Linked DNA regions of Lytechinus pictus. The protein of the gene in region 3 interacts with the protein of the main gene of each other region in a pairwise test. Links are inferred from orthologs where the notes say so. Each region holds a gene or a part of one and is shown on either strand. Other genes may lie near its edges. The genes, in order: methylenetetrahydrofolate reductase (NADPH)-like, zinc finger C4H2 domain-containing protein-like and proteasome subunit alpha type-1-like.

The links.
Region 1: the proteins of proteasome subunit alpha type-1-like (region 3) and methylenetetrahydrofolate reductase (NADPH)-like interact in a two-hybrid assay, tested with the Caenorhabditis elegans proteins (3 studies listed by BioGRID). The link is inferred for Lytechinus pictus from reciprocal best matches to the Caenorhabditis elegans genes pas-6 and mthf-1.
Region 2: the proteins of proteasome subunit alpha type-1-like (region 3) and zinc finger C4H2 domain-containing protein-like interact in a two-hybrid assay, tested with the Caenorhabditis elegans proteins (3 studies listed by BioGRID). The link is inferred for Lytechinus pictus from reciprocal best matches to the Caenorhabditis elegans genes pas-6 and vab-23.

Annotation. Positions count from the first base shown.
Region 1 is NC_087258.1:5,053,967-5,065,389, reverse strand, and holds the start of methylenetetrahydrofolate reductase (NADPH)-like, read left to right. Parts: upstream 1-6,390; 5' UTR 6,391-6,544; intron 6,545-11,423.
Region 2 is NC_087248.1:18,903,083-18,914,188, forward strand, and holds the start of zinc finger C4H2 domain-containing protein-like, read left to right. Parts: upstream 1-6,636; 5' UTR 6,637-7,263; coding exon 7,264-7,295; intron 7,296-11,106.
Region 3 is NC_087263.1:7,348,499-7,359,668, reverse strand, and holds the start of proteasome subunit alpha type-1-like, read right to left. Parts: upstream 5,202-11,170; 5' UTR 5,076-5,201; coding exon 5,073-5,075; intron 3,805-5,072; coding exon 3,658-3,804; intron 2,980-3,657; coding exon 2,876-2,979; intron 2,051-2,875; coding exon 1,962-2,050; intron 870-1,961; coding exon 799-869; intron 380-798; coding exon 250-379; intron 1-249. Other genes in the region: small ribosomal subunit protein mS35-like, read left to right, coding at 5,415-5,589. UniProt on the Caenorhabditis elegans protein: The proteasome is a multicatalytic proteinase complex which is characterized by its ability to cleave peptides with Arg, Phe, Tyr, Leu, and Glu adjacent to the leaving group at neutral or slightly basic pH.

The DNA.
Region 1 (11,423 bases), on a different chromosome or scaffold from region 3:
TTTACACTTTCATTAAACCACGGTTAAAACCATGTTTGGTTATATAACCATCATTTTTAAACTATCTTAAAACCATGGTTAAAATCATGGTTTATAACCGTCGTTTTCAACCTTGCTAAGACGAATGTTTAACCATGGTTTTGTAACCACTGTTTTTACACTTTCATTAAACCACGATTAAAACCATGGTTATATAACCATCATTTTCAAACTATCTTAAAACCATGGTTAAAATCATGGTTTATAACCGTCGTTTTCAACCTTGCTAAGACGAATGTTTAACCATGGTTTTGTAACCACTGTTTTTACACTTTCATTAAACCACGATTAAAACCATGGTTATATAACCATCATTTTCAAACTATCATAAAACCATGGTTAAAATCATGGTGTATAACCGTCGTTTACAACCTTGGTAAAACGGAAATTTAACCATGGTCTTGTAACCACTGTTTTTACACTTTCATTAAACCACGGTTAAAACCATGGTTATATAACCATCGTTTTCAAACTATCTTAAAACCATGGTTAAAATCATGGTTTATAACCGTCGTTTTCAACCTTGCTAAGACGAATGTTTAACCATGGTCTTGTAACCAATGTTTTTACACTTTCATTAAACCACGGTTAAAACCATGTTTGGTTATATAACCATCATTTTCAAACTATCTTAAAACCATGGTTAAAAGCATGGTTTATAACCCTCGTTTTCAACCTTGCTAAGACGAATGTTTAACCATGGTTTTGTAACCACTGTTTTTACACTTTCATTAAACCACGATTAAAACCATGGTTATATAACCATCATTTTCAAACTATCATAAAACCATGGTTAAAATTATGGTGTATAACCGTCGTTTTCAACCATGGTAAAACGGAAATTTAACCATGGTATTGTAACCACTGTTTTTTTACACTTTCATTAAACCACGGTTAAAACCATGGTTATATAACCATCATTTTCAAACTATCATAAAACCATGGTTAAAATCATGGTGTATAACCGTCGTTTTCAACCATGGGAAAACAGAAATTTAACCATGGTTTTGTAACCACTGTTTTTACACTTTCATTAAACCACGGTTAAAACCATGGTTATATAACCATCATTTTCAAACTACCTTAAAACCATGGTTAAAATCATGGTGTATAACCGTCGTTTTCAACCTTGGTAAAACGGGAGTTAAACCAAGGTTTCCTAACCATTGTTTTTATACTACTGTGAAACCATGGTTACAACCATGGTTAAATTACTATGGTTTTTTCACCAAAGTAGAAAGATGATTTTGTCATGGTTTTATAACTATTGATTTTAACTTTCTTAAAACTGTGGTATAATGATGGTTTTTATAACCATGGTTTTAAAATCGTCATAAAATGACATTTTTATCATGTTATTATAACTATGGTATTTTAACAATGGTATTACCACACTTCCGCCACACATTTACCTTGGTTATGAATGTAAAACCATGGACTACCATCGATCCATTGTAAAACCGCCCCTAACCATGGTTATACCATGATTACGGTTGTAAAACCATGGTTTTTTTTTTATAAGGGTATGCTTCTATTCATCTTGTTAGTTTATCCAAAATGATGTTCGGAAGTGAATTTCAGCGTAGATCCAATTTAATATTGATACTGTATACTCAACAACAACTGAGATCATTGTCTGTCCAGTTATTCATTTACTAGAACTTGAAGTTGAAGACATGACCAAAAAATTAAAAGTAGTGGACGATGCGATGACCAACACAGAACTTGAACATGACAAGAAATGCATGCTTTATAGTACATAATCATGTACATACAATGAGCATATTAGAGCGCCTTGAGCTTGGCAAGAGTCAAACCGAAAGTAGCCCGACACAACAGTGAGGTCATAGAATCATGATTGTAATCACGATATCGTTTATTCGAACATTTTCGTACGTGATTCTGCAGAAACGTCTTTCCAAACGCCCCTTTTTTCGTGTTTCATGTTTGTGATTCTAATCATGATTATATTCAATTTCGACTAAACGCAATCGTGATTCTGCAGAATCATGATTTGAATCATGATTCAGATCATGATTCTAGGGTAAAAAAGTGGCGGATAAACGCACCCCAACTACGAAAGTCATATCTGCCTGGTCTTCGGATGGCAGAATAATAGCCTTACTTCCAGCAAGCGGAGGAAAAACTGTCAAACGTTTGATCAGGGCTGAGAGTGGTTTGGACACTATATGAATATATAATCTCTTGATGTATCCCTGATTAAACAGGACTGATATTACTGATGAAGATTTTAATAAATGCAGGGTTGATTACATATTAATCATTAATTTTCATGGACCTGATGTAATCCTTCGTTATCTACAACTAGAACTCTTGTATTAACTTTACGGCTGTATTATTTTTATATTGAATAGTGTTTTAACATTTTGTTCTACTTTTATGTAGTTTTTAGCTAATGGTGAAACAATTTCCTTGCGTCAGTGCCTTAAAAGTGTAAAAAATACTCAAAGAGCTTTACAATGTACTGTCTGTAAAAAATGGGTTTACACAAAATGTGTTAAAATAAGTAATGATTTATATGATGATCCTATATACTCAATTGTTTTTAGACTGGCAATGTACCAATTGTCTTTTCAATTACTTACCTTTTTTAACTGGTGAATTTGATAACATTTCATGTACCACTCACACTAAAAGTAATGTGAATGTCAACACTTCTTGCTTATCAGAAATAGGAAACCCGTTGCAATTTGATTGCTTACAAAGTACAGGTCTTAGATTTGTACACTTAAATATTCGTAGCCTCCTTCGGAACATTGATTAAATAAAGTTATTATTAGAATGTAACAAAATACATGTACTATATAGCACTGAATGAAACGTTTTTAGATGAATCAATATTCAATAGTGAATTAAATATTGACAATTATCTCCTTATCCGTAGAGATAGAAATCGACACGGAGGTGGAGTAGCTGTTTATATCCAAAATTCGTTATCTTTTGAAGAAATTGATTATAAAGTAGAGAACTCATTAGAAATAATTTCGTTAATGATACGTCCAAAGTTTTCAAACCCAATTATTTTTAGTACCTGGTATCGACCACCAAACTCTCATCTTGATATATTCCAGCAATATGAAAACTATTTATCATATCTTGACCGTTTTAACAAGTATATTGTCATAATGGGTGATACCAACTGTGACATCTTAAAGTCTCCATTATCGACTGACACTGAACGTTTACAAGAAATTCATAACTTATATTCTTTAGATCAAATTAATAGAACCGACTACACAAGGGTCACATGCAATTCAATGACTCTCATAGATCATATGATTACTAATTCACTTGAAAATATAAATAAATATGGTGTTATTCACATTGGTATCAGTGACCACTCAATGAGTTACATGATATAGAAATCAAAACATGAAGACGCTTCTCGAATGATTAACTTCAGAAAACTATCTGGTATTGATCTAGAAGCGTACATGGAAAGATTAAATAACCAGTCTTGGCACGAGATACTTAATTATGATAATATAAATGAAGCATTTATCAAATGGGAAGAACTTTTAATGTCAGTTGTTGACTATTGTACGCCTATCAGAAGTAGAAGAATTCAGAGTAAAAAATCGCCCTGGATGAACTCAGAAATACTTAAATTGATTCGAGAAAGGGAGAAATTGAAGAAAAGGGCCTTAAAAAGTAAAGATGAAATTAAAATGATAGAATATAGAAAGATCAGGAATAAAATCACTTGCCAAATTAGGAAAGAAAAGAAAAAATATTATAATGATCAAATAACAAAACTAAAAGTAAATGCTGGAAATATATGGACTGTTATGAAATCATTATTACCTTCTAAGAAATCAAATTCTGTGATTAAAACTGACAAAGAACAAATATTTGAGCAAAGTGAGAATTTTAATAATTATTTTGCAAATATCGGGGCTGATTTAGCATCCAAGATTCCTATTTGTTCTGGAATAGTGCCGGAGCAATGTAACCTGGATTCATCTTTTTATTTTACAGCAGTAACAGAAGAGGATGTTTCAAAAGAGATTAAATTATTAAAAATATAAACCTTCTTCTGGTATAGATGGTATTACTGCTCAAATACTAAAAATGTCTGCACCAGCCATACTTCCATCCACTAGCGTACCTACGGGGGGGGGGCAGAGGGGCAGTCTGCCCCCCTGACGAGCCACCACCCATGCAAAGCCACCACCCATGCATGTATCCCTGCCCCCCCCCCCCCTGACGAGCTTGAAAGACCTTTTTGCCCCCCCCCCCCTGGAAAATCCTATAGGTACGCCAGTGCTTCCATCACTTACTTATTTGATCAATAAATCACTACTAGATAGTACGTTCCCACATAAATACAAGATAGCAAAAGTTATTCCAATTTACAAATCAGGTGATAAAAATGAACCTTGTAACTATAGACCAATCTCCATTTTATATTTCAAAAATTATGGAAAGACTTGTATCCAACCAACTTAAATTGTACATGAAAGAAAATGAAATACTGATCTGTGTGGATCAGTACGTCCGTCCGGATTCAGAAAGAAACACTCAACAATGACTTCTCTTTTGAAAGTCACAAGGCAATGGACGAGGGTCTTTATACATGTTATACGGGGCAGTATTCATCGACCTGAAAAAAGCCTTCGACACTGTGGATGTTAAAATACTTGTGAAGAAGCTAGCAAAGATTGGTGTTTCAGAAGATGCTTTGCACTGGTTTGAGAGTTATTTATGCAACCGGATTACCGGAATATATGTACATGTATCGAGAATATTACATCAAACGTCTCAAGTATAGAGTATGGGATTCCACAGGGTTCAACCCTAGGGCCAATTCTCTTTACGTTATACATAAACGATATCAATAAACATGTAAAATATTGTAAACTGCATCTGTATGCAGACGACACAGTTATTTATTTTTCTGGAAAAATATCAGTGAGATAGAATACTACATAAATATTGATCTACATAACATATATGGTTGGCTGTGCCACAACAAACTAAGCCGTAATGTTGATAAAACGAATTCTATGCTTTTTCGAACTAATATTATGTTATCAAAATGTGCAAATATAAATGTTGAAATATCTGATAAAACTATTAAGCAATCTAACTCTGTTAAATATTTAGGCATGTATCTCGATCCAAAGTTGAAGTGGGATACTCATATTGAAGAACTATGTAAGAAAACTAATAAGCTTGTCAAATATTTAGCACGTCTAAGACATTTCGTAACTGAAAGTAATCTAAAATCATTGTATAGTTCAGTTATACTTCCCTTATTTGATTATGCTGATATTGTGTACGAATCCACAAATAAGAAATATACTAAACGTCTTCAAAAAATTCAGAACAGAGCTGGCCGTATCATTTTGAATGTTCATTAAACCGCAAAATCGAATATCAAATAGAGAAATACACCAACGACTCGAATGGAGGTCATTACAATCACGAAGAAATATCCATATATATATACAATGGTGTTCAAATCATTGAACGGCCTGGCTCCATTATACTTAGCAGATTCATTTAAATATTGTAATTACTCATATAATTTAAGAACCGTAGGTAATGTGATTATGCCCAAACCAAATACAGAAAATTGCCGTAGAATGTTTATATATAGAGGTTCACGCCTATATAATGACTTACCTTTAGATATGAAATTATTTTATCAAAGACTTAACTACATTTATTACTTATTTGAGCTCTAAGATTTCAAATTACATTGATCTCTGAGCAACACGTTGTTTTGCCGGGAGGGGGTGGGGTGTATTTGCTTGTAGCTTGAACCAGTATACATCTCTATGGCTTGAACTCATAACTTTAAATTTTGTTTTATGTCTATTGTCTAGTTTTCATTACTTTATATTGTGTTTAACAATGTTCTTTTCTGTTGTTAATGATGTTTATAATACAATCTGATCTATTTTATTATGTTCTGGACCCCTAGGCAGAACAGAGTGGTAATAATTTCCACTCTGAATGGGCAATCCAGCCATTCCTATGTATTTATTTTATTTTGTAATTATATCTGATGTATTTTGTTTGTATTTTGCATGTTTTTATGAATGGAAAATAAATACAATACAATTATTACAATTTAAAAAAGACGTTTAAAATGCATGCCTATATTAATTTTACCCCCAACTATCCAAGCTCAGCGCTGAATGCGCATCATGCTCTTGACTTTGTAGGTAGGTGGAAGGGGTGGAAGAAATGAACATGAGTTCAATTCGTGATGTGATATTCCAATCAACCTTTGATTCTGGTGTGATAGACGCATTCGGATATCGATACAGCTGCATTGAACGGTGGTTTCGCTGTAACGTTAGAGGGCGCTCAACGAACTGCACTCTGATATATATATGCCGAATTGCGAACGGCATAAAATTACGCTGCGATGTTCTTTGGGTCTCTTTCGCTTCTCAACCTTCGCCGAACGCACGTCGAAGCACCTGCTGTATGTAAACGAGATATCGTAGTCTTGTTCTGCTTTGTTGTACAGGCACGTATCTTCTACTCTTCAATTTTTATAGACCCTTTCGTAAAGCTAAGCCTACTTTGGTTTATATTGTGAAGTTTGTTGGCCAATTTGTTTATTGTTTTCACCATTATGCATTTTTAGGGAGGAAACTTGCAACACTGCGCCGCGCAGAACACAAAGTCAGAAAATTGCACGAAAATTTTAGAGAACTGAGTCTGAGATCTAACTTAGCCTTAGCCTTAGGTACGGTACGGTAACTCAAGTCTCTGTGTGAACAAATTTAGACTAGCTTTTTCGATCTGCGGTATCAACAGACAACAACAACAAATGTCCTTGGCCGGTGTAGCGGCGGATTTGGTTCCACCGGCGGATACCGTATCCGCCGGCAGATATCGTTCTTAATGGCCGATATCGTTTTTAACCGGGTTTAACGCGGCTTGATGTTTGCAGATTTGGTTCCTCGGCGGATTTGGTTCTATTGACGATACGTGTAATATTTATTTGGACAGACGTCCAACCTCGGCAGCGCGCGCATGCGCGGCTCTGGCAATGTCGTTACCAATGGGGGGGGGGGGATTTTCGTCCGCCTTTAGACTTTTAGTGAATTTTTATTCAGGGGCGGATCCATACAGCTTTTGACGAAGGGCTCGATGGGGGTGAGGGAATAGGAGAAACAATGACTCGATATATCATGTATACATAGACCTGGCAGTGGCACATGCGCCAAAACTTTGCTATTTATTATTATCAGATTTTGATGAAATTTTCATCATTTTGTTTTGTAGGCCCTACGTGAAAATTTATACTACTTTCAGTCCGCAGTATGCATTGATATCTTTAACTGTGCTTTTTCACACCGTGATTAGTGTAAGTTTGCCAGACTGGCGAAAATTTGTACCCCCATATAGGCCTATGGTTTTTATAAAACTACAGATTTTCAACGAGTTAAAACTTCATAATTTCAAAATAAATGAGGCAAATTAGTTTATGAATATATATTGCTGTTAACTCATATTATTGCTTGTAGAGTGCTAATTTTTTGTGAAAACATTAAAAAAAAAGAATTTCAAAACATGATTAATATCTTATGTAGTTTATTGTAGGCCTATTTTTAATTTGTCATGTATTTTTTTTATTTGTTTTTTTTTATTCCTTTTTTTTCAATATTTTTGTTAAGGAATCTGAATTAAAGGGATGGTCCGGGCTGAAAATATTTATATCTTAATACATAGAGTGGAATTCACTGAGCAAAATGCAGAAAATTTCATCAAAATCGGATAAGAAATAATAAAGTTATTGAAGTTTAAAGTTAAGCAATATTTTGTGAAAACAGTCATCATGAATATTCATTAGTTGGGCTGATGATGTCACATCCCCATTTTCCGTTTTCATATGTTATCACACAAAACCATATTTTTTTCATTTATTTCATACTTGTGTGAATAATATGTCTCCCTTATAATGAAATAAGTTGCAGCAATAAATATCTAATGCACTAAATCAGTTGTCACTCAAAATTTTCTAGTTCTTGGAGGAAAAAATTTGAATAAACCTAATTTCATATAATAAATTACAAAAGAACAAGTGGAGATGTGACATCATCAGTCCACCTAATGGATATTCATGACGTAACAGGCGGGGGGGGGGGAGTTGCCCCCTGGCGGATTTAACCAGGAATAAAAGAAAAACGGGAAAGGAAAAAAAAGGAGGGAGAAAGAAAGGGAAAGGGGAATGAGGGGAAAAGGAAAGGAAAAAGTGAAAAGAAAACGAAGAAAAAAACCCTTTTTAACGGAAAAGGAAGGAAATCGGGAAAATGAACGAAAGAAGAACATTTGAGAAAGAACAAATCATTCCAAAACAGGCATAATTATGTAATGCAATAGCACGGTGGGAAATAAATTAAAAGATGACAAAATGGCAAACAATAGCGCGAAACGAAGGTAAAATGCAATTAGTCAAAAGCTAATTTTTGGAAAACAAAGAAAAGGGACAAGAAAAAAAAATAACACGACCGGGCTTCCGATGATTGAAATTAAAGAGCAGGAAGAAAGATGGACTGCATACAACATTGTGCTATATATAAGCTAGCTAAATTTTATGTAAATAAGCTACCGGGGCTTTGCCCCAGACCCCACACAGCTGTAGGGGCTCTTCATTTATACTGAACCTCAAATTGCTCTATAACGCTTCCCGTTCACAATCACGTTCAATTACTGCACATGCGCGGGGGGGGGGGGGTCTTGGTTCCACACCCAAGAGAAATATAATAAATTAAAGGAGACAAGGTATAATGAAATGAATGGAAACAATGAAATTTGTTAGTTGCTGAATCTAATGGAAAAATCAATTACATAATTCGAATTTAATTTCAAAATGCATTTTTTTTTCCAGCTCGATCGCTTTGCGACTTTTTACAGATTTTTCCCACATTACTATGTTTTGCCCCTCAAAATATTTGGTTCATTACGCAACTGGGTTGAATAAATGTGTTTTGTAAAAGCTATATCCTGTACATGCCCGCGATTTGATTAAAATAGCGGCAATCTGCGAGGAAATGGCTTTGATATAAAAAATTCCGGACCCCAACCGCACAGCACTGCGTATGGAAGGGTTGGGCTATGATCCCAAAAAGTTCTACAAACAAGAACAAAAAGAAAGGAGGAAAGAAAAGCAAAGGAAAAGTGTAGAATATGATTTTATTTACTGAATATAATGCCAAAAAATAGCTCAAAGTTAGATTCTTCTTTGTGTGCAGTATGTGAATTTTGTTTCATTTATTGTAAAGCGCGTAGAGAAACTTTCAGTTTTATGCGCTATATAAGGGAAGTATTATTAGTAGTAAGTCTGTTTATATGTATACAAAACTCTAAATCATCTAGCACCTGAATATCTTAATAATACCATCAAATTATACACACCCTCTCGTAATCTTCGTTCAATCACTGACACATGCAGACTTTGCATTCCCTTGTCAAAACTCTCCTCTGCCGAAAAACGGTTTGCTGTAGCAGCTGCCAAGACTTGGAATACTATCCCTCTTTCAATAAGAAATGCTTCCAGTGTTCTTGGCTTCAAATCTTCCCTTAAGACATACATTTTTCCTCAATAATTAATTTCCCTTTTTATGTTGAATATTGTAGTAATTATTGCAAATGTTGAATTGTTATTCCTACATTGTACGCGCTATGGTACGTTTTGTTTTTAGCGCCTCTAAATACCCATTATTATTATTAGTAGTATTATCATGAAAAGGTGATTTTTTTTCTCGCTGGCTTCGTTCGGGACTTATATAAAGCAGCTTTTTAGCTCATGTGCTATACTGCGCCCCTCGTTTTTTTTTTACACTTCACGCTACTGCCGCAGAATCCTGTTCACAGTGGCGTATACAGACCACCAAAAAAAAAGGAATCTAAAGAGAGAAGAGTGAAAAATATTATTCTCTTCGCTTCGCTCACTTTTTTTTAAAGATAAATTATGCCCGATACGCAATATCTGGCCTTTTCAAAATAATCGCCTCATTACACAAAATTTTTGGCTCTCCCCCCCCCCCCCTGCTACGCCGCTGACTCAAGATCCCTTCTCTACACATGCCCATCATCCCTCCTCAGCACGTCCCCATACCAACGCACGACGTTCGCCTTTGCCAACTGGTCCTTCGCTTCTTCCAACCCTAACATCTTCATCAAGTCCTCAGTCTTCTTCCTGTCCATCAACTTCATCCCACATCACTCTCACCATTGCTCTCTCCTTGCCCTCCTTAAGATCCCCATCTTATTTTTGTTCAAACACATGTCTCATTCCCATATAACATCACCGATCTTACACAACTCTTATACACCATTCCTTTCATCTTCAAAGGAATTCTTTTCCCACATAGCAGCTCTCCACATTCCCTAAACTTAACTCTCCCAAACTTTGCTCTAGCTGTCACAGATGCCTCACACCCACCACACCATAAATGATCATGAAAAATACATTTCCTTAAAAAAAAGGAGAGATTTGGATCCCTCAATATCGCCTGTACTTCTGGTGATACTGAATAATGGGATATATCACGTGTGATTTCATCACAATTAAGGTGTAATTGACACAAGTCATAAACATTTACAAAACACATCAGAACAATACTCTAAAAGTACCATTTCGGTGTGAACCCTTTTATTTTGTTTCTTTACAACTTTGATTCTTTCATTTCCACTTTAATGCATGTAAATGAATATGAAGAAAAGCTTAACCTTTATACAGTTACATAAAACATTTTCTCACTACCAGCATTAGCTAATTAATGTCCATCCAATATTTTACTACAATAGCCGACAGCGTCACTAATGTGTCACATTTGAGTTTCAAGCAACATTCCTATATTACAAAGGTGTAATGGTCCTTGGATTTATCTACTGCTACCATTCAAAGTTTTATTTTTTTTTTAATAGTAAAAGTAAAACTGCATTATTTTTTAGTTAAAACTACTGCTTGGAAATACTTATTGCAATTTTTTTTTTTTTAATGGATATTAGAATAGAAAATTCAACCTCAAATTTTCAGCTGATTCCATGGCTGAATATTAAGTTTAACTAGAACTATCTCTGACGGTGAATAATACCCTCGCCATACGCTGTAACCATGGCAACAGTTTCACACATCTGAAAAAATGTCTTGCCAAATATTACCCAAGACCAAGATATTTGCCTAATTTATTTTACTCATTGTTACCATGTCAACATGGTTTTCAACACATGGAAAATGTGTCCTGCACATCTTAACCTCAAGACCAATGTATATTGGTTGAAAATCAATAAAGTAATTCAAACCATTACCATGGCAACACAATTTCCTTCACATACAAAAAATGTTTCTTGTACATCTTTACCCCAAGACCAATGGGTGATTTCAAGTTAGA
Region 2 (11,106 bases), on a different chromosome or scaffold from region 3:
TACAGTGTAATAGTCCAGCAGCTCTACTTCTCAGCCATTCAAAACAAGGGAAAGTTGTCCGCTCTGACAACTTCATATCAGACCACAAAGTCACAAACGCTGATTAAAGACTTCTTTCGTTTGCGTTTACTTGTAAAAAGGTGTTAATTTGGAAGAAAGTTTCTTACCCCAATGCACGCATGTATGAACATCAAATGATTAAAGGGGAATGAAATCTTTGGAATAAATAGGCTTGTGATGAAACAGAAAAATTCGAAAAAACAGATCAACAAAAGTTTTAGAAAAATCGGACAAACAATGAGAAAGTTATGAGCATTTGAATATTGCAATCACTAATGCTATGGAAATGCGATGCAATGGCAATGCGACAAGGATGTGTGATGTCACATGTGAACAACTTTCCCTTTGATGGACTATAAAATACCCCCAAAATGTCTCTTTTTGCTTTTTCTCATGGTGATACAAACTTTTTATCCATGACGTATTATTAAAAAATCTGTATTACAAGCCCTCCTATAGAAAGAACACATGATCTACTGATAGATGTGATAAAAGAGGCAATTTAAGTGAAATATATTAAAATTACTGGGGAGAGTTGTTCACAAGTGACATCACACATCTTTGTCGCATTGCCAATGTGAGGATCTCCATAGCATTATTTATCGCAATATTCAAATGCTTATAACCTTCTCATTATTTGTCCGATTTTTCTCAACAATTCGTTAATCTGTTTCTTTGATTTTTCTGTTTTCACACAAGCTATTTTGTTCTAAAGGTTTCATTCTCCTTTAATAATTGAACATATTTTGAATGTAAACTGAAATTCACTGGAAAATGAAGTACACTGTAAAATATGAACTGATCTCACAACCCTATCTTTGATCTTCAAGAGGATGAGACACTATATTTCAGATCAAATGAAAGAAAGAGTTTAAATGGTTTCATTGATGTTACCTCATTTTGGTATGTGTAGTGCCTTCTTTTGGGATCTCAAAACTATATTTATCTTCAAGGAGGGATGATTAGACAAGGAAATAATTCCTGATTATAAGTGATTAGATGCTATCCCTCACAGAAATTTTCAAGCTTGCGGCATGCTAGTAGCTAGCATGCGGCTAGCTTAATAAGCGTGTAATATGCATGCAGAGTAATATTTAAGCGATCTTTTAGTGAGCAGGATCTGTTCGCTAGCATGCACTCGCTTATTAAGCGAGCGCCCTGCTAGTCGCATGCTAGTTAGTAGCATGCAGCATGCTTAAATTTCTGTAGGGGATATTTCAGATCAATATTCACTTGTACCCTGTTTAGAGGTGAATGATTCAATAATGTGAATTACAGTACTTAGTGTATCGTTTAAAATGTCAATTTTATGAAAGGGCAGTGACCATTCATGCTTGATTCCTGATTAAATTATGAATTTCACTTTTGAAAATATTTAGCACTATCTCTTGGTAATGTTTTATTCTTTTTTTTTCTTTTTAAAGACCCCTTTGAGTTTGAACACTTAACTTCTAAATATCTCAAAGCTATCAACATTTATTTTTATCCAAAAATTTTCAGCCCATTCCGTAAATTGCAAAATACATCCACTACATGTATTTGAACTTTTTATTTCATATCCTTTTAGCTGGAGACAGACCCATTCAGTAGAGCTGTCTGCACCAGCCCGAGTTTTCAAATTAGCGCGCTATTTCTGATCCGGCAAATTATCCCGATCTGAACAACCTCGAGATTGTTTGTAATGGAGGTGCAATTATCACGCTAGTTCGTAGAATTAATCTTGAGATTGCAATCCCAAGTCAACTTGGGATTATTTGCAAAATTGCGCGCTATTTTATGAATTATCGCGCTTATTCGTAGGTGCAGACGCACTTGGGATTAATTATTCACGGCGTCAGACCATAATGCATCGATGCCTCGCTCGAGCAGGAATCGCTCTTCTTTCGATGGTGGAGACAGGGTTTCTTGAATCTCGAGACTAATCGCGAAGAGGGCCGATCGGGCTAAAATCTCGAGATTGAGCAAACTCGGGCTGGTGCAGCACCGCCTAATGAAGTAATTAACTGAAACTATGAGTCATGACCAACCCTAGGGAATTACCAAAACTTATGAGAGACTTTAATATGAGCTTTTGATTATTTTGTAATTTAACCAGCCAACTTACAGTACAGCAAGTTGCAGGGGGAAAAGAAAACACTACATGCAAAAGGTCCACACAACACTTGTTGAATTCCCACAGTAGAAAGAGAAGGGGAGAAAGAGAGGGGGCGAGATTGCAGACAGGACCAGAAACCGGCGGATGTCAATATGGGTATCAGCAGTATACCCACTCCAAAGGGAGTGCTTTATATGCTGACATAAAACATAATCACTGTTTTGACTAACTGTAACAAAGAGAACAGCAATCAGATTTTAATTTAGTTTGAAATCCTCAATTTTCCCCAGGTTTTGCGTTGTTATTTTTTTGTGTGTGAAACCGTCGGTGTTTACTTTGAGAGAGTGCCGCTCAGGGAGAGGAGCTTGCTTCATTGAGTCTCATTCAACCTATGCATGAATGCTCATTGCATCTGTCTGGATTGGTGAAGAACAAGAGCGCTTTATCCAGCAGAGCTACTAAGCTTTCCCAAAGTCAAAATCAATCTTATTTGCTCCTCAAATATGGCAAAAATCATTGAATAAAAAAAAAACATTTTCATGATTTGAATAAATATTTCATATTGATATGACATCATCAAATTTAACGATAAAAGAATATTAGTTAACCGTAAAGATGCCAATTTGTATTTTTATAGTGAGTTTGTTATTTTCATAGCATTGCCAGTTTGGAGTGTGTAATGTTTTTAAAGCTCAAGTTCGATGGCTTTTATTCTATCGGGAGGGGGGGGGGGCGCATTGTGGTCTATTGGTTAAGACTTTAATCTTTCAATGTGAGGGACGTGGGTTCGATTCCCAGCCATGGCATGTTTTCCTTCAGCAAGAAATTTACCCACATTGTGCTGCACTCAACCCAGGTGAGATAAATGAATTCTGGCAGGAAGTAATTCCTCGAAAAGTTGTAAGCACCGTAATTGGTAGACTAGCCTAGCTGGGTAATATAGGAGCGCCTTGAGCAAGGTGGATATGTGCACTATACTTTATTATTATTCAAGAACAGCCACACATGCTGCACTTAGAATGGTAGCATTCAGCTTAAAGATGAACTGCAAAATGTCTGCTGAAGGAGACGATTCAATACATGAATAATGTTTCCAAAAGAAGGCACTGTACATAGTATGTCTATGGGTTAATATTCATGAAGCCCTTTTGTAGTGATATTTTAAATCTTACATAATCACTGATGATGTTTGTTTTATTTCACTTCAATACCTTAGTCAAATTTTTACAGCTAAATGCATAGTCAACTGATAAGTTGATATGTGGTATAAAATTAATTAACATTCCTCAAATTATTAATTGATTATGGTAGTTCTTATTTCTTAAGCTGTAATTAAAAATATTTAAAAGGGGTATGCATCTCGCCATGATTATAAAAGTGATTAGAAAAGGGTACATATCTAGCATTGTTCAATAATTGTTTCATCAATCCTGATATGAAAAGATGCATCTTTCATGAATTGAGTAATGACTGTTGCATTTGAATTTGGGAATTCTTCATTATTTTCATTATATCTTCCTTAGAAAATGCAATTTCAAATCAAGTTTCACAACTCTCCTTCAAGATCATTAAATAGAAATGTCATCTGCCTATAGTCTTTGTCAACTTCTAAACTTCAGTGCATACTACACCCAACAGAATTACAGGTTAGCAGACATGTAGGCCTACAATATGTAACTCAGAATACCCTCCTCCATATACCCAAAATCCAGAATGTTTCAAGTTTATTCCTGAAAAGACTTTTGTTAAAGTTAACCCCCCACTATACACCCTCTTTTCACCCTCTCTTTGCCCCTCTTTGTAGGAGTCAATTGGTTGTTCACACCTGCAACCCTTGTATTAATCAATCCCCTCTTTCATAGAACGGCTAATCCCCCTTTTATCCCTGTTCATCTGTTAGCTCAGCTCCTTGATGAGACAACCTAATTAATGGCTTGATTTTAATGTCTGACTTGTTGTTATCTGATATGCCCTTCAAAAATCAAGGGTTGACAGTGATTTTTAATGTTCTAATAAATCTGTGTTGGGTCCTGTTTATTACAGTGTCCACCTCCATGCTGTGTCTGAGATGTGATGTAAAATGAAGCTTCAAAAATGCACTTCAGAATCAGGATGTAGTGTTCATAAAAGTGAAAAATAAACATGGAATCACTCCCAACTCCCTGGAATAATCTTCCCCATTTTATTCCATGTACTAAAATGTGACCGACTATCGAGCACCATGCAACTGAAAGATTATCTTGGTTTTTGTTTTCAGTTACAGATATTAATTTGAAATTATCTGCACAAAGTTGATTTGCTTTTTAATATCTCCTTGGTATTTTTAATCCATGTAAAACACACATCATAGTTATGGAATTTTTTATAAAAAAAGACCCTTTATAATTTTACCCATTATGTCTTTAAAGGTCAAGTCCACCCATGCAAGAAAAAGGTTGAGTTGAATCAAGAGAGAAATATTAAACAAACATATTAAAATCTGAAAATTTCTTCAAAATTTCACAAATCAGTTATATGCACAACTCAGTGATATTTTAATTAGAGTTGATGATTTCCCTCACTCATTATTTCTTTTTTTATTGCTTGAATTATACAATATTTTAGTTTTTACAGATTTAACAATAAAGACCTCATTGACTGAACCATAAAATGTTCGAACACTGTTAATTGCACATGTTCAGAGAGGAATAAAACTTTGTTTCACATGACAGTGAGGGGGAAATTAAAGCATTACATATTTTATATAATAAAATACAAAAGAAATGGTGAGTGGGAGATTTCATAATTGCATATTTGTATACTGACCAGTATGTGAATAGAACTTTTTTGTGAAATGAAACAAAACTTTGAAATTTAATAATTTTCTTTTTCTACATCAGATTTTGATGAAATTATCAGTGTTATATGCTTGCTTGATTTTTCTCTTTTTATTCAAATCAACTTTTATTGTGGCAGGGTGGATTTTTACTTAAAAAATGGAGTATCTTTATGTATTATCAATCTATCCTTTTCTATATCTTACATACATATCCTCTAAATATTCTCTTTTTTGTCTTTTCAAATTAGTTTGAATTGTGAGTCAGTTTTTACTCTGGAACCAGAAATGGGTAGAAGTGATGGAAGTTCAACTGCATTTCAACACAACTTTGCGTTTGTCCCTCATGCAGAATTGTAGATTGATATTTCAGGCTCAGACATAAATGTTACAATTCGCACAAATTTGTGCAATCTGAAAAGTCTTTTCAAACCCAATCGGCAACAATCAAAACACCTAAGTTGCATTTAATATCATATCTGCAAAAAGTATCTCAAAACACGTTTTGAGAACGTGATTCTTTTTACCGCAGAAAAGAGATGATAAACGCACCCGGGGAGAGCTATAAGGTAGCTCGGAAGACACCAAAGAATGACGGAGTGTAGGGATTTGTTGCCAGATAATGCTCGGTGGTTGGTAGCTCGCCTCCGGCCTGAATAATTGATGGAGGTGTTAACGGCCTGATTGGGGGCATTTTATCCTTCCCTGCTCAGTGATTTGGGAAGCGAGCCTCCTGTTGCCCCGTATTAACCCGTCGGCTCCCAGTCAGTATCAGATTATCCCCGGATAGATCAAACTGTCATCGTTCGCCTTTCCCTCACTCTTTTATCTCTTCTGTCATTTTATTAAGGACAATTCTAGATTGGAAGTATCATGGGTACTTGAAATTGTTGCTAATGTCATTTTTAATATCTGTATTAGTAAGCGATAGATAGGAGTGCGATTGTTTGATTTCATAAGACAAATTATATTAATATTTTTTTTATCATTGCGGCAATAATATATTCTGTACTCATGTATATTGTCTACAAGTATGCCATAAGGGCATTGTTTGTCAAATGTTATTCATATCAAATACTTAATGACAAATGTCACCATCAATATTTTTTTTTAACATTTTGAAATGAAAAACAGTACGATTTTGAGACAAATACCTGTAAATAAAACATGTATTGCTTAATGCATATCTTCTTTCAAATGAAACAGATTTTTTTTTTAATTGATGAATTTAAGTGGGTCTTGAATGAAAAATGTTCGTCAACCATCTCTTCTTGACTATAAACATTTAATACTGATGTTATTATACAAAGAGAAGGAGGGGGCAGGATGAATATCCACGAGCTGGAAAATGTTCCCAGGTAAGTCACTTTCAACAGCATCGTGACTATAAACACTTATACTAGGAGTAAAAGAAAAAATGATAAATATCGATGAAACAAAGAAAATAAATTAGACAATCAATTTCAAGAAAAGGAGAGAAGAAAATATGGAGAGGGGAGGGTGGGTGAAAGAGAGAGAGAGAGAGGGGGGAGACAAATAGAGAGAGAAGGGGAAGGTGGTGGATTGGCTTGCCAGCCAGCCAGCCAAATTTGTTGCTTATCCGACAGGCCCCTCCCCCTTTTCTGCGTCTGGGAGACTGTACTCCCATGTTCATGGTCTAGCAGACAAGACACGCGAACACAAAAGACCCCAGCACTTAGCCAACACATGAACAATCAGGGCATGCAGCAGCTGAGCTCTATTCAAGTAGGGTCGATTAGTGATTGCATTGACCAAGATTGTTCATTTTATCCACTGCTCCGGCTCGATCAAGAGGAAGGTAGAGGCTCGCTCGTGGGGGATGGTGTCTGAAAACTTGGATCTTATGAACGGCATCCATCTCTTTTTTCCCATGAAGAGTCATTGTCTGAGCTATCCCTGTTGCTGTAATTTTTTGGACCACTGTTGCACTGCTTCTTAGTGGATCTGACTTGCCACTTTCTTGCTCCAATATCCTATCCCTTTGATGCTGCATGTTTTGGACGACTCGTTTGAGGCCCTCTCCTATGATTAGTAATTGTCTTTTTCCATTATCTACCCATTTTTCTGCAAGTTTTGGACCAATGTAGCACTGCTTTTGTACAGGACTACATCTTGACTATTAGCCATTCTGTGACTATTAGCCATTCTTATGGTCCTTTATATACCCCCTTTTATTGCTGCAAGTTTTTGGACAACTGTTGTATAGTCTTTAGGACGACTTTGAGGAGGGGTTATCTGATATTCGAAACTGTTATCAAACGGAGGAAACAGGATGAGTATCCACTTGCTGGAAAATGTTCTAAGGTAAGTGACTCTCAGCAGCATTGTGACTGAGCGTAGAATTATCAAGAAATTTGGCATCAAGATGATATTTTTAAAGGTCAAGTCCACCCCAGCAAAATGTTGATTTGAATAAATAGATAAAAATCAAACTAGCATAACACTGAAAATTTCATCAAATGCGGATGTAAAATAAGAAAGTTATGGCAGTTTAAAGTTTCGCTTATTTTTCACAAAACAGTGATGTGCACAACTCAGTGACATGCAAATGAGTCAGTCGATGATGTCCATCACTCACTATTTCTTTTGTTTGTTTATTGTTTGAATTATACAATATTTCATTTTTTACAGATCTGACTGTAGGGACCGACTTGACTGAACCATATAGTATTAAACAATGCTAATTCCATATGTATAGGGAGGAATTAATCGCTGTTTCACTTGACAATGAGGAGAAATTTAGAATATTTCATATTTCATATAATAAAATACAAAAGAAACAGTGAGTGGATGACGTCATCAGTCTCCTCATTTGCATACCGACCAGGATGTGCATACAACTGTTTTGTGAAATTAAGCGAAACTTTGAAATGTCATAACTTTCTTATTTTACATCCGATTTTGATGAAATTTTCAATGTTATGCTTGTTTAATTTTTCTCTTTTTATTCAAATATTTTTTTTGTTGGGGTGGACTTGTCCTTTAACTGCCCCAAACCTTTGAAAGAAAGAAAAAACATACTGAAAGAAATACTGTATATTGCAAACAACTGGCTATCGTATTATCATTCCCCATCTATTTTTTTGGTAAGAGGCATTCTTTGCTTTTTCAAAGTTGGTTTCAATAACTGTTGTTGATGATGAAATTGCTCATCAGCTTGGAGTGATCTCAAAAGGAAAGTGAACAATGATACAATTTTTCCCAAAGGGATGGTGTATATGAAAGGTGTATGTTTTGTCAACAATACTCTCATTGAATATGCTAGTTTCTTCTCACATTTTGAATTGCAACATATTAATATAAAAGCTTAATTTCCTTCAATATTAAGGGATATACATGTATGCAGAGCTATTCAAACTATAACGTTATACCAAGTTGGTAGAGATTAAAATGCATCATACCTGGGCATTACTTTTAATTAAGAAAATGAAAAAAGGATGTTCTCATATACCGTAAGGGTACTAGTATTCAACCCGTTTGGAGAGTTTCTTCAAATATACAGAAATATGGAATTTACCTGAATTTCAGACCTGTCTTATTTCCAAAAGCAAATGCTGGTTATTCTTTTCCCGTTATTTTTTTCTTCAACCCGTCAACTGCGTGCGCGGGCGATCGAATTTTACGGCGACGGTTTTTGGTACTAGTATTCAATCCGTCGGTACTAGTATTCAACCTAGTGATGAAAGATGGCCCTGTCTCTCGATCTGCCCTTGTCCCATCCGACTATGGACTAGACCATTTGAGATGAGACCAAACAGGGAATTAATCAAAGCCAGAGACTTCCATAGATCTAGATCTAATTTAGCAATCTAAACCCTTTTGAAATTTGCTATCAATCCTCACTATAGGTTGAATACTAGTGCCATTCAGTGCAAAAGGCCATCGCCGCATAATTCGATCCTCCGCGCATACAGTCGACAGATTGATAAAGAAAATACCGACAACAGATTACCCTGGAAATAACAAAGGTATGAAATTAAGATAAATTCCCTATTTCTAAATATTTTGGGGAATATGTCAAAATCTTTGAATTATGCCGGGTTGAATACTAGTGCCCATACGGTAGTGTTGTTTCTAAAAAAATCTAAAGTGAATAATGTTACAGCCCCATCAAATGGAAACAGAGAGTAGAATTTGAAGAAAAAACATCCCATGGTTTTCATATTTTCTGATTCATGTTCATTCAATTTCAAATATGAATTAAAGTATGAGATGGTTTCAATATAAAATGCTGTCTAGAATACTGTGAAATAAAATACTGTCATATAAAAAGATTCCTAGTTTGAATTTAATCTAGTGGCTGATGTTTGTTCTTCGCGCAAAAGAGACTTGGATGCATGTTTTTTTGCTACGGTCCCTTTTCAAGCATCATTTGGTCGACACTTGAGTAATTGGTTCTTGTTATCAAAGAGACTTTTACATAATGCCCACTATCTATTATACATATAATTTGTTTGGTCTGGGGAATTGCAACCATGCCTATTGTATTCTGGTTATTGTAAGAAAAAAAAGTGTTCACTGACAAATGTGAAAAGAAAATCAAGGAGAAGAACCATTGTTTGATAAAATATTCTGTTAGCTATGAAATGTTTTGGTAAAGTAAATCTTAAAGAAATTACTTTTAATTCACAAAACAAAGTGCTTTTATTTCAACTTCCATACTTGCAGCCCATGTTATTATAATTGTGTATATTTTGTTATCATTAATTTTGTAATCACTTGCATAGATCTGAAACATGATAATTCATGGATGATTTTTCAAGAAAGTTCATTTGTGAAACTTGTTGATCACATGTATTTTGTAATTTAAGCATATTATATAATATTGACTGGCCTTTTATTGTATGTGCGGCATTGCGGTCCGACTGTTGCCAGCAACAGACTCATATTGGCCCGAGTATTTAGACGAGGGCAATATATTTGATGTTTCCTGGAGAGGGCAACATGGCAAATGTTAACCCTGTTTGTCTCAAATTGAAAAGTAGCGAGCGAAATATGACATTAATATCTGCTAAAATGCCTTGTATAGGTAATTTATCATATTTATTTAATTTTTTATGTTTTGATTCACACTTTGCATATTTTTTGAGGGGGTACACTAAAGTGGGTCAATAACATGAATTGCATCCAATCTTACAATAGTGTATTGCCCTTAATATTTTTTTTAATCTGTTAATTTCTTTGTTGAATGTTTCTTCCTCTTATCTAGCTCACTCTTGGTTGATTTAAAAAAAAATTCTTTAAAAATGGCATTTGATCACTTGATTTTTATGATGATGACATACATGTAGCAGGAAATATCTTGAAATTTCCACATGCTACAAGAATTAATTTTTACATCAATAGAGAGAGAGAGAACAAAATATGCAGATAGGGCACACAGTGACAACCACCCCCAATAAATGTACTGTAACATACTTATGCATTGAATGTTAATTAACCACAGTCCTTTCAAAATTGTTAAAGAATATTGCTTTGACATATCTGTACTTTGGTTCGATTTTCATCTAGACTATTGTATAAAAATCAAATCAGTGATCATTGTACAAAAATGCAAAAGTATGTATAGAAGTGCTAGCATGACATCCAGTACATGTACATACTGACAAAAGATACGGCTCATGAATTTCACACGATATTTCCATTTATTGATTCTGCTAAATATTCAATATTTATTTTGTTTATTGTTAAGCATTTTAAACCAATTACCCCAGATAAAGACCACCTGTACATGTATGTCAAGGCAATGACAGATTGTCAAATTGGGTAATCATTCCAGTTGAAAATGTAAAAAGTTAAACATGCAAACCTGTTTAGAACTGCTATTGATTCTCAAATATGTAGTCGGTTTAAAGCTCTTTGTTAAGGGTCATTTATCTGAATTATCAAATATACATGTAGCATTCCAATAAAATGCAAGTGTATTGTCCTTTCAATCTGTGTCAACCATTATAATAGTTCTTTTTAAAAATTCATAAATATTATATTTCAAGATCTCTAGCACTATCTCTCTCTCGCTCTCTTTCCACAATGTTTATATTTTCTTTAAAAGGGAAAATCCAAAAGCTAAACACGAAGATTGTCTCCAGATTATTTTCAACCCATTCAATAATTG
Region 3 (11,170 bases):
AATTACCATCCTCCTCTTTTTCATTATCATCAATCATTTTGTGATCATTACCCCGTTCATCATAATTTTCATCACTATCGTCATGATCATCATGATCATCATGATCACCATTGCCATCATCATCACCATTGTCCATCATTATCATCACAAACGCCATCCTCTTTTGCCTTATCATCATCATCATCTCCATCATCATAACAATCCTCCTCTGTCACCATTATAAATATTTTTCTTTGTTACTATACTCACAATTCTGGAATTCATCAAGTCTCTTTTCAAGGTAAGTTCTCGCTGACTGAGATCGAGCTCCGATGGCCATGCACTTACAATCAAAGTAGTTGGCCGATGGGCAGGTTTGGAAGATATGAGGACCCATCTCCTGAGGATCACACAAGATTCAATATTCATCACTTTGGAAAACATCAAAGAGTAATGGTTACTTTATGTATAAATCAATTAAAAAGCTAGATCCCCCACTGGTGTTTGGTAGCATGCTCAAAGTCATTGTTGTTGTGCACAGTATTGATCAACAGAAAAACTTGAAATACCAGTTGGGTGATTAGTACTCTGTTGTTTCACATCGGACTTATGTGAGGAACAGGCTATCACCATGACAACACAATACAAAACATATAAAACAGATCTGTCTTGAATGTCAGCACTTTTAAACCAATGTTTGTGCAAAGTTTCTCAAAGCATTGGGCAGAAGCTCGAAATGGTTTTCAACTGTAAACCCACTTGTTATATCCCTCATGGGACTAATATCTAAAACCTTGTACCATAGAATATTATACTTACATCATACCCAGCCACTAGAAGTCCTACACCATATGGCCTCCGTCCATACCTCTGTGTGTTAATTTGAGATTCTGTGCGAGTCTGGTCAAAGAAAATATGATATTCCAGATAGCAAAAATGTTAACCTGCTGATTACTGAATTTCTTTCATAGCTTTCATAAATTTTATACAGGGACCACCTGGTTCAGGATACAGGGATAACAGGGGGCAATATAGAAACAAAATAGACATCACTGAAGACACTGGTAACAATTATATGCACAAGGTGCGTGCCCAAGGCATACATGTAGCTCAGGAGATTAGGACCATTTCAGTGTTAACAATTCTGGGTAATTATTCTAACACCTGGGCAAAATGATATATTCATATTTTCGGGGGCAACTTTTCACAACTTACTGCCATATCTGTAACAATGGACATGAGCTTTAACATTGACTTTCCAGGGCTCCTTTTAGAGTCTCCAGGGCTCTGTTGAGTATTTTGGGGGCTAAATCGCGCTGAGCTTGGTGGAATTTTCCCCTGATATTCATGTAACTAGTCATCGATACCGGCCATTAGCACATTTTTTGTTGTAATAAATGACTGGGTCCCGTTGCATAAAGGCTACCATTATGGTAACTTGGCCATTCAGTTGTAACTTGCATAGAATCATTGATTTTGATTGGCTGCTGATCAGTGTTACCATGGTAGTTAGCATAATAGTAACTTTCATGCAATGGGTGCCCAGTCATACATGATAGATCTTAGCTTATCATTTAATCCATATCATCAGTGTATGGCAAACTTTAATGACATAGGCCCGTAGTCTGAAGTCGGGTTTAACTTAAAGTCAGGTTTGAAGTTGTGGTTTAAGTATGGATAGACAATTGTCACATAAATCACTAAAACAGTAGAGATGTCACATTTCAGCTCATTTGGCTCTCACATCATTCATAATTGTCTAGGAAGTATACATAGACGATTGTCTTCACCATCGATGAATCAGGAAAGAGCACAGTTAACATAAGAAAAATACAACTTTATAAAGATTTCGGCACTTTTGGCTTCCTATAATTTTAGCAGAGTTAGAACATGGTCTAAGTAAAACCTGACTTCAGAATACGAGCAATTATGTCCCATGGAGAAATAACACTCAAAAGATGAACATCTATTTCAAAGGATACTGTTGCCGATTTCGGAAACTAATCTTGAAACAGGTAGCGGAGTCTCATATGCATAGCGGGAATTCAGACATTCTGTTCTCATGAATTTGCTGTAAAAGGATGAGAGAGAGAGAGATAAAAAAAGTACACAGCTTCAAAATTCAACATTACACAAAAACAATTGAATAAGCATATACTGCACTTTGGTAGACATAAAATTTTTCGTCCTATCTTTTCAACTTTCTCTCAAAAGTGTCATAAAATATAGTAACCGAATTTTGTTTGAATAAGACTGCTTGTAGTACAAAAAGTAAAAAGGATAAAACAAAAAAATTGCAAAGGCCAATGAGCTGGACGACGAGGTCAGTCAATGGTACATCAATAGCCATGACCTTTAATAGATGGCCATCGATTCATATAAGCCTTGTAAAAGAGGAGTTCCAGTAAGTGGTAAGACACAGATCCTGGAGTTGCAGCAAATGATGATTTGATGATAATGTCTTTAAAGTCAAGGTTAAAGGTAAATAATGCAGTTGCAGCAACACTGATCTCATGTGAAAGTCTGTAGGTTGATTGTCATCATACCATAGTATATACAGTATCTACTTACACGTAGATCTGATTTGTGTACATAAACCTATACTGTGGTCTTGAAATCTCAGCTGAAAAGCGACCACACTGAATATATCACCAACATGAATGAGTACATGTGGGGCAGCATATCCATAATGCTTGGAAGTGGCCAAACACAAATGCCAGGCTTTATATCTTGTCCATGTCTAGGTATCTACACATTTTCTACTGACTGGCCTATATTGCTTCACTACATACTTATATACATGAATACCACTTAAATAATCATTTTGTATTCTGTTAACATTCACTTTAAAAATCGATATTACAGCTGGCATTTAAGTTTGTCCATTTGCCCATACCTTAGCATCCTGGCATCTGACGTGAGCCCAGCTATGGAGATACCGATGTGATCATCAATAGGAATAATCTTCTTCTGGTGAGAGGACAGCTCTGACGAAGCTCTCTGAAAAAGGAAAGGAAATAATCATAGTATAAATACATGTACAATGTACGTTACTGCACGATTTATATAGAAAGAAATCCAAAGAATCAGGGCTACATATCTTTTAATATTCTTTCATGGATTCACACACACACCCTCACACACACAAATTTTTCTCTTTAATATTATTCTGCTTATTTAAACCAAATTAATGTCAGGACACTCAGGGCAGGTTTCCTATTGTACAAAAACCACTACAACTTGGATGATTTGATCATAGGCTGTACCATTTGACAATTTCACACTAACCCTAACCAAACTTCTAGTCTTACATGGAGTTTCCAGGGGATATTTTTGGAAGTGAGGAACACATGGTACAAAGTATTCCCTCACACTGTATGACAGATGGCTAGTTGTCTGTGCATGTTGTAGGTGAAACCACAAGAGTGATTTTTTTTTGGTCTAAACCCCTCCAAACACACAGATATCAGCTGTCTACATACAAGGGTCAAGAACAGCGGTGACACAACATTTTCTCCTGCGACACTTGCTCTAGGCTTAAATTCATCTTAGGGTTGCAATAGGGTTTTATGTTAGGTTTAGGGTAGGGTATAGTGTTAAACCCAGGGTTGAAGTTGGTTATTCAATAGGTGTGTGCAACTTAGAGGGGAGTAATTGTCATGGAACCAGAACAGTTACCTTGAGGGCCACGAGCACAGCATGGGTCTTGGACTTGAGACCTACGGTCGCAGAGCCTTGCTTGACGGCCTCCATGGCATACTCTATTTGATGAATCCTCCCCTGGGGACTCCATACAGTCACATCGTTGTCATACTGGTTACGGAACTGAAATAATAATCATCATAGTAATAATCAATATTGTACAATGCCAAAGACACTACAGAGAAGACCGGACACTTCGGCAATTTTTTGAAACACTTGATTTCGCTCATGGAGAAGGGCATGTACAAAAAAGCATCAATTGAGTAAGTAACCATCACACATCAGCATGCGACTGTATATAAAAGATATGGGGAAAATGAGAGAGGATTTGTAAGAGGGTAAAAGGGTAGCGCATGGGAGTAATTCCACCTATTACACAGAAAACTTTAAAATATATTAATTTCTAATTTGAGAAAAAAATTGAAGATTTTTTTTTCTTAAAAGGAAAAATTGTATATTCCTCCACCCCTCCACCATTTCCCCCATGTTTTGTATACAACCCAAAATGGCGATACGCGAAGGCGGGCAAAGGTTTACTTAAACTCAAGGCTGTAGGGCACTCTTCCCAAGCGTTTCATTGCGCGCTCTATTGTGTGTCTAGTCTTCCCCTTGTAGTGTCTTTGAAAATGCCTACTTTAATAGCTTGTTGCATGCAAGCAAATACATGTACGAGGCTGCATGTCAAACATCTGTACCGTTGCACATGTAGCGTTCAAAATGTACTCTTTACATCATATGATGCAATTCATTGCGCTTGCAATCATAAAGGGGTAGGCCTACTCCAGGCTGAAAAAAAAAATGTTTTGAACAGATTAAAAAAATCAGACAAACTAAACAATGAAAAATTTATCAAAGTCGGACAAGAAATAACAAAGTTATGATATTTTTAAGATTTGCATTATTCTGTTGAAACAGTTCTAGGCATGTCCTCATGAAGAGACCTGGCTGTATTCAATGAGCAAACTGATGTCACATTCCCACTTGTTCTTTTGCATTTGATTGTATGAAATTAGGTTCATCCATTTTTTTCCTTTAAGAAGCAAAAATATTGGAATAACAACTGATTAAGTGTGCTTATTTATTGCTGCAACTATACATGTATATCCTTGGAAAGACCCTTTTGTGCAATCGGCCCCAGGCCAGGGCTATCGTCAATGACAAGTCAATGGGTCCCATATTACTGGTACGGTACCGTACCTCTCCTAATGCCCGGGGGGAGCCCGGGCAAATTCATTGAAGAAACCGCTCACTGCCACTGGCACTGCACCGGCGCCGCTACTGAAATCAAACTCAGTCACACACACTCTCTCTCTCATCACTTGTACTGGAATAATTTCAAAAGGGCATGCAATACACCATACTTTAAACTGTATAATAACTAAATAACATACCATAATGATTGATAATGTAATTGTAAGATCTTTGAGTTGAAGTTCTCAACGTTCGGGGGACGTAACATGAGCAAGCAAAATTCTCGACCGGTCGACCGATCCGATCGATTCGACCTAACGTTACTGAGTAGTTTTGAAGATCAAAGAGTAAATAATTTTCTCTAAATTTTTCGCATTTAAAATTATTTTTATAAACAACGAAATAATATTTAATATTTTAAATCGTAAAATATTTTTTTTCAAATATTTACCTCATTATTTTATTTCTTTTGGTAAAAAATTATCATTTTCATGTAGACTAACTGATAAAGATCTAAAAAAAAACAGAAAAGAAAAAAAAACATGGCGGTTGTTTTGTCTGGCAACTTTCGTGCTCTCATAATGAGCTGCACTTGCAGAATTCCTGCTCAAGCTGAGCTCGTTGGGGTGTCCAGATATACTACAGCGAATAAGAATAAAGATTCCTACGGATCGCTGGTATCAACAAGTTTACCAGATGTAGATTCAGAGATTGAAAGTGAGTCTGTTATTTTTGCCAATGTTGTGGTGTGGTCCCACCCATGTTTATTTGTGTTTGTAATTGTAGCTGTAAGGTGGAGGGTGGTTAACCTTCTTCTTCTTCTTCTTCTTCTTCTTCTTCTTCCTCCGCTTATATCGGAGATCAACAGCAAGGTGCTGCATAAAGAATGTCCATCAGCAGTTAATGATTACAGAGAGGAAAGAGATGTAATACGGCTAATATGGAGTTTATAAAGGAAAGTCAATGTAAGCGAAATAAGCACATCATTATGTTGGGAGGTGAGGTAAAGAGAGCATGGGAGTAACACCGCTCTTGTGAATGCATCTCCTTTGGTTGTATCATAGAGGGAGTAGATTTCATCTGGCAGGCGTTTACTTCTAAGCTTATTGCAGAATTCTTGTCTATGAGTGTCTAGGTGAACACATGTTGCTATAAAGTGGACAATATCTTCTGCTTCTTTCTTGCAGAGCCTGCATTCGACTATTGTGGTCTTCTTTATTTTAACAAGTCTTGTTTGCACTGGATATGTCTGGCTTAGTAGCTGTGCTCTGACAATTACTGCTTGCCTGAGAAATCTCGAGCTGCCACAGCGGGGATACAAGTGGTAGGGGTTCCGCATGTTGATGGAGGTCCAGAATGAGAGCGTTTTCTTTGCTTGGATTGCCTCCATGGTTTCAAGTATGACCACATTGTTTACTGCCATTTTTACTGTTTTCTTCCATTGGCAGTAAGGAATTGGGTCCAGTGTAAGTGACTGAAGATCTGGTAGGTTATACTTCAAAAGGATAGTTTGCCAGGCTCTGATTGTAACCGTTTGCTTGGAGAGGGCATGAAGAAAGGTGCGATATTCGAAGCGTTCGTGAGGGAGGTCAAGTAACTGTCCTATCAACTGAAGCTTCACAACGTCCACTTGCGCACTGATAGGTATTAGTCCAGTCAAAAGGTGTACCGATTCATCAGCTGCAGACTTCGGTAGGCCAAGAATCTGCTTGAAAAGTTGAAGCTGTGACTGGTTGAGTCTCTTTAACATACCCTTTGTAAAGTTAATGACCGCGGCTCCAAAGAGCATGCGGGGGATACAGTACACTCTCCATAATGTTGCGCAGTGTTGTGGTAGGAGGCCACCTGTATATGCACCAGCTCCAGTGAGAGCATAAAAGGTTTTGAGACCTTTTGCAATCATGTCCTCAGTTGGATCTCTCCTTGTGCTAGTTTTTATAATGCCAAGATGAGGATGCATTTGTGCAGTTTGCACTGGGTCCTCTCCCAGATGCCAGGCATATTGCTGTGAGGTATGTTTACTATCATTGAAGGCAATGATGCAGCTTTTGGATGGATTGATTCTGTATTTCCATTCTTTTGTATAGTTGTTTGTGACATCAAGCATAGATTGTAGTTCACTTGGTGAATTACTTAGAAGGGCTACATCATCAGCAAGGACTACAAGACCAGAATATCGACCTAGTAGATTACAGCCAAGATTCCTGCTGCGTAGACGTTTGATGAGTGCATCAATGAATGTAATGTAGAGGAGTGGAGATAAAACTCCCCCTTGCCTTACTCCTTGATAGATTGGAAAGGGCTCACTTGCTACATCATTCCAAAGGACTTGACTCTGAAGATCTTTGTACAGAGACTGGATCATATTAAGATGTACAGGATGGATGTTTGTGGCCCCTAGCTTATGGAAAAGACCCTGATGCCAAACTTTGTCAAAAGCTTTCTCAGCATCTAGGAGTGCAACAAAAGTGGGGGTTTTGTTTGCAGAATTAAGTTCAATTATGAGTTCAAGACAACATGAGGTCAGGATGCAGGAGTGATGTTTTTGGAAACCAAACTGGAGTTCATCTGGAATATTGTTTTCTTCAAGGGAGCGCTGGATCCTTGGTTTAAGGGCAAGTTCAATCAATTTGCACAAGGTAGAAGTCAGGGTTATTCCACGATAGTTTCTTGGGTCTTTCACATCTTTGCCTTTTCCTTTGTGTAAAGGAAGAACAAGTCCATTCTTCAGACTTTGAGGGGTAAAAGACGATACCAGGAAGGAGTTGAAGACTAGAAGTATAAGACGCCTTGCAGTTGCACCGAGATATTTGATGTGTTCTGGGCTGATATCATCAGGTCCACTAGCTTTCCCTTTCTTGAGGCTGGCGATGGCTACATCAAGCTCATGAGAGGTAATGAGGGCTGATTCCTGTACCATTGGGACAACCTCATTAGGTTCAAATTTATCATGAATTGTTATTTGAGAGATTTCGGCATTCAGTGTAGGTTGAGCCAAATCTGTGAAGTAGCACTTCCAACCAGCAGCTACATCACCTTTCTCGTATGTGCAGCCTTGGTACTCAAGCACTTCTGTTTGACGTTTTGTGATGTTGGTTCGTTGCCTCTTGATCAGCTGGTAGAATAGCCTTGAGTTTCCAGTTGATGCAGATTCGATGCTGGACAGGAGCCTACGGTGTTCTACGGCACGTGCCTGTCTCAATCTTTGTCTGAATACTTTCTTCAACTGGAGGTAGACATCATGCAGAGATACTCCTATGGGCTTTCCATTGTCTTTCCAGCGTTTCCATGCATGATTTGCTTCAGAATATGCTTCAGCAACTTCCGTTGTCCATTCTGCTTTACCGAGACGTTTTTGGCAAGGTTTAGTGTGAGGGAGATTTTTTGACTGCTGAACCATTGCTTGGGAGAGAGACAACAGGATTGCTTCAGCCTCTTTACCAAGAATTTCACAGTCACCTATGTTGGTAAATAGATCCATTGCTATCTCTTCCAAAGGTACTGTGTAGAGTTCCTGGAGAGTATTGTGATCAACTTGATCCCATTTTATTTTTATTCTGGAAACTTTCTCCGATTTGTGAGGGGAAGAGCTTGGCGATTTCTTTTCCTCCTTAAGAGAGGACTGAGGGGTACAAGGATCCCATGTGATGGTGACTGGAAAGTGGTCGGATGTATTCAGAGGGTCATCCTCCTTTATAGATACAACTCCAAATCGTGATAGCGCAGATGAAGGTATCAGGAATCCATCAATGTTTGACCTCTTCTTCCCATCATCTGATTGAAAGGTAAACTGTTCAGATGTACAGTGCTCCTCTGTGGCACTCAGGAAAACAACAGAGTTCATGAAAGATCTTAGATATCCTAGTGTCTTTTTATTGTTCTGATGTACTGTGTCGGCATTAAAATCTCCAGCAATCACTACAGTGGTTAGATTATTTGCCTGGTGCACATAAGTGTCTAGTAAGTGCGTGATGATTGCTAGACAGGCCTGGTACTCAGTGAGATCAGCAGATGAGGTGCCACTCGGAAGGTAGCAGTTAATTAGGAGTATTCTTTCATTCGAAGATGCAAGGTAGGCATTGGCTGCTATAAGTCTCGGTGACTGACATACTATTTCAGTGTATGATGTAATCAAACTTTTGCGGAGATACAGAGCTACGCCTCCTTTCCCTCTTCCGCCATGTACAATGTTCATATTTGACAAGTACTCAGAAGATTTAGAAAGAACATAGTGTTCTGAAGTTGGTGTATTAAGTAAATCCAAATTGTGGTCATGGAGCCAATGCTCCTGTATGCACAGTAAATCAATGTCTAATAAAATATGCTTCAGCATAAGTTCTGCGCTTCTGAACCCTCTGGTATTGAAGGTTCCTAATAAAACTGGCTTGGAGGCTGCCGAGGAAGTAGGAGGTTGAGGCTGGACTGTGTTAGATTTAAGATCTGCTGGTGGTGGCTGACAATCATTTGTAGTGATGGAGGATGATTCATTACACTTGGTATTGCCAGAAGCTGGGATGCGCTCAAGAGAAAATGGTGTGCTGATTCCAGCATTGTTAAATGTGTTGCTGTTGAGGCTCGGCCCGGAAGAAAAACCTGCTTCGGAGAGTGGGCCTTGTTTGGATCGTTGGTCATCAACAAGTTTCTTTGCTGGGATTGAACACTTGAGGCATTGGTATGTTCAGATTTTGCAGGGTGCCCGACCGTTAAGCCAGGTCGGGCACTAAGTCTAAATAAGTAATTTCATACGGTAAACTGTCATTGAAACTGCTCAAAACTTGTCTTTGACTTTGTAACATAACTTAGGTCTACTTAGTCTTACTCTTAGCTTCCAAAGAACTTGAATAGAAAGATGATGAAAAATTGTCAAAATTCAAAATTTATCTTTTCTGAGCTGAGTTTTCAGTCTTTCTAAAAATAATAAAATATTGTCAAAATAGAGTAGGCAGCTCATCAGTGATTTTGTTGTTTTCTCAACTTTTCCCATGCCATAGACATAGTCATAGAAAACCCACGTTCGGTAATCAGTAGAGGCGCACGGCCAATATGGGAGACTCTCTCCAATAGGGGAGACAATCTCCCACATCCCACATTGGAGACTTGCTTTGCAAAAGGACAAAAGAAACAACACCAACAAAAGCATGATTTTTTCCACCCAAAATTTTGTCTCACTAGGCGGTGCTGCACCATCCCGAGTTTGCTCAATCTCGAGATTTTAGCCCGATCGGCCCACTTCGCGATTAATCTTGAGTTTCAAGAAACCCCGTCTGCACCATCGCAAGAAGAGGGATTCCTGCTCGAGCGAGGCAACAAGCCCGATATTACGAGCATGCGCACTTTCGGATCTTGGAGTTTCAACGACCCGCGCTTTTGAATAACTTCCCGCGATATGCAAGCAATGTACTCCTTTCACTAGCACTTTCGCCGAATTCAACCGGTGTTATGCAACAATCCTCTCAGCTCAGCGAGTGAAGAAGTGATGTATTCTTCGTTAAATATGATGGCGGAGTAGGAGGCAACGACAGAGAGAGAGAGAGAGGGAGAGAAGGAGGAAAGAAATGCTATTTGCTCACATTTTGCTGTTGTTATTGAATATAACCATCGTCGATGAGCGCCTCCCCCTTCGGTCTGGTCTCTCCCAAAATCCATTCACTGGTGGGACACCATCGTTGCTTATGAACGCTATTCGCATGTATATAGTTGACTTTCGCACGTGTTTATGTTTTGACCAAGGCGGAAGTGGAACGCGAATTGCATTATGGACTGACGTCATGAATAAATTACCCCGAGTCCAATCTCGAGTGCGTCTGCACCGACGAATTAGCGGGATAATTCGTAAAATAGCGCGCTATTTTGCAAATAAACCCGAGTTGACTTGGGATTGCAATCTCGAGATTAATTCTACGAACTAGCGCGATAATTGCGTCTGCACCGCCAACTATCTCGAGATTTTTCAGATCGGGATAATTTGCCGGATCAGAAATAGCGCGTTAATTTGAAAACTCGGGATGGTGCAGACGGCCCTACTGAGGTCAGAAGCCCATTTGTTTTGTGTGTGATTGACAACAAAAATCCTTATCAAAACAAAAGTAGACGGTGAATATTTAAAGTAGACGGTGAAAAGGGGTAATTTTTCATGAGGAATCTGCTTATCACATTTTTATTTGCCGCCAAGGTAATCCTTTCGCAGCAAATGTAAACAAAGGAAATTGGACTCCAAAACTGGAGACTGTCTCTGAAATTGGATACCCAAATTCTTTACAAAAGTCTCTGATATTGGAGATAATCTCCCACATTGGAG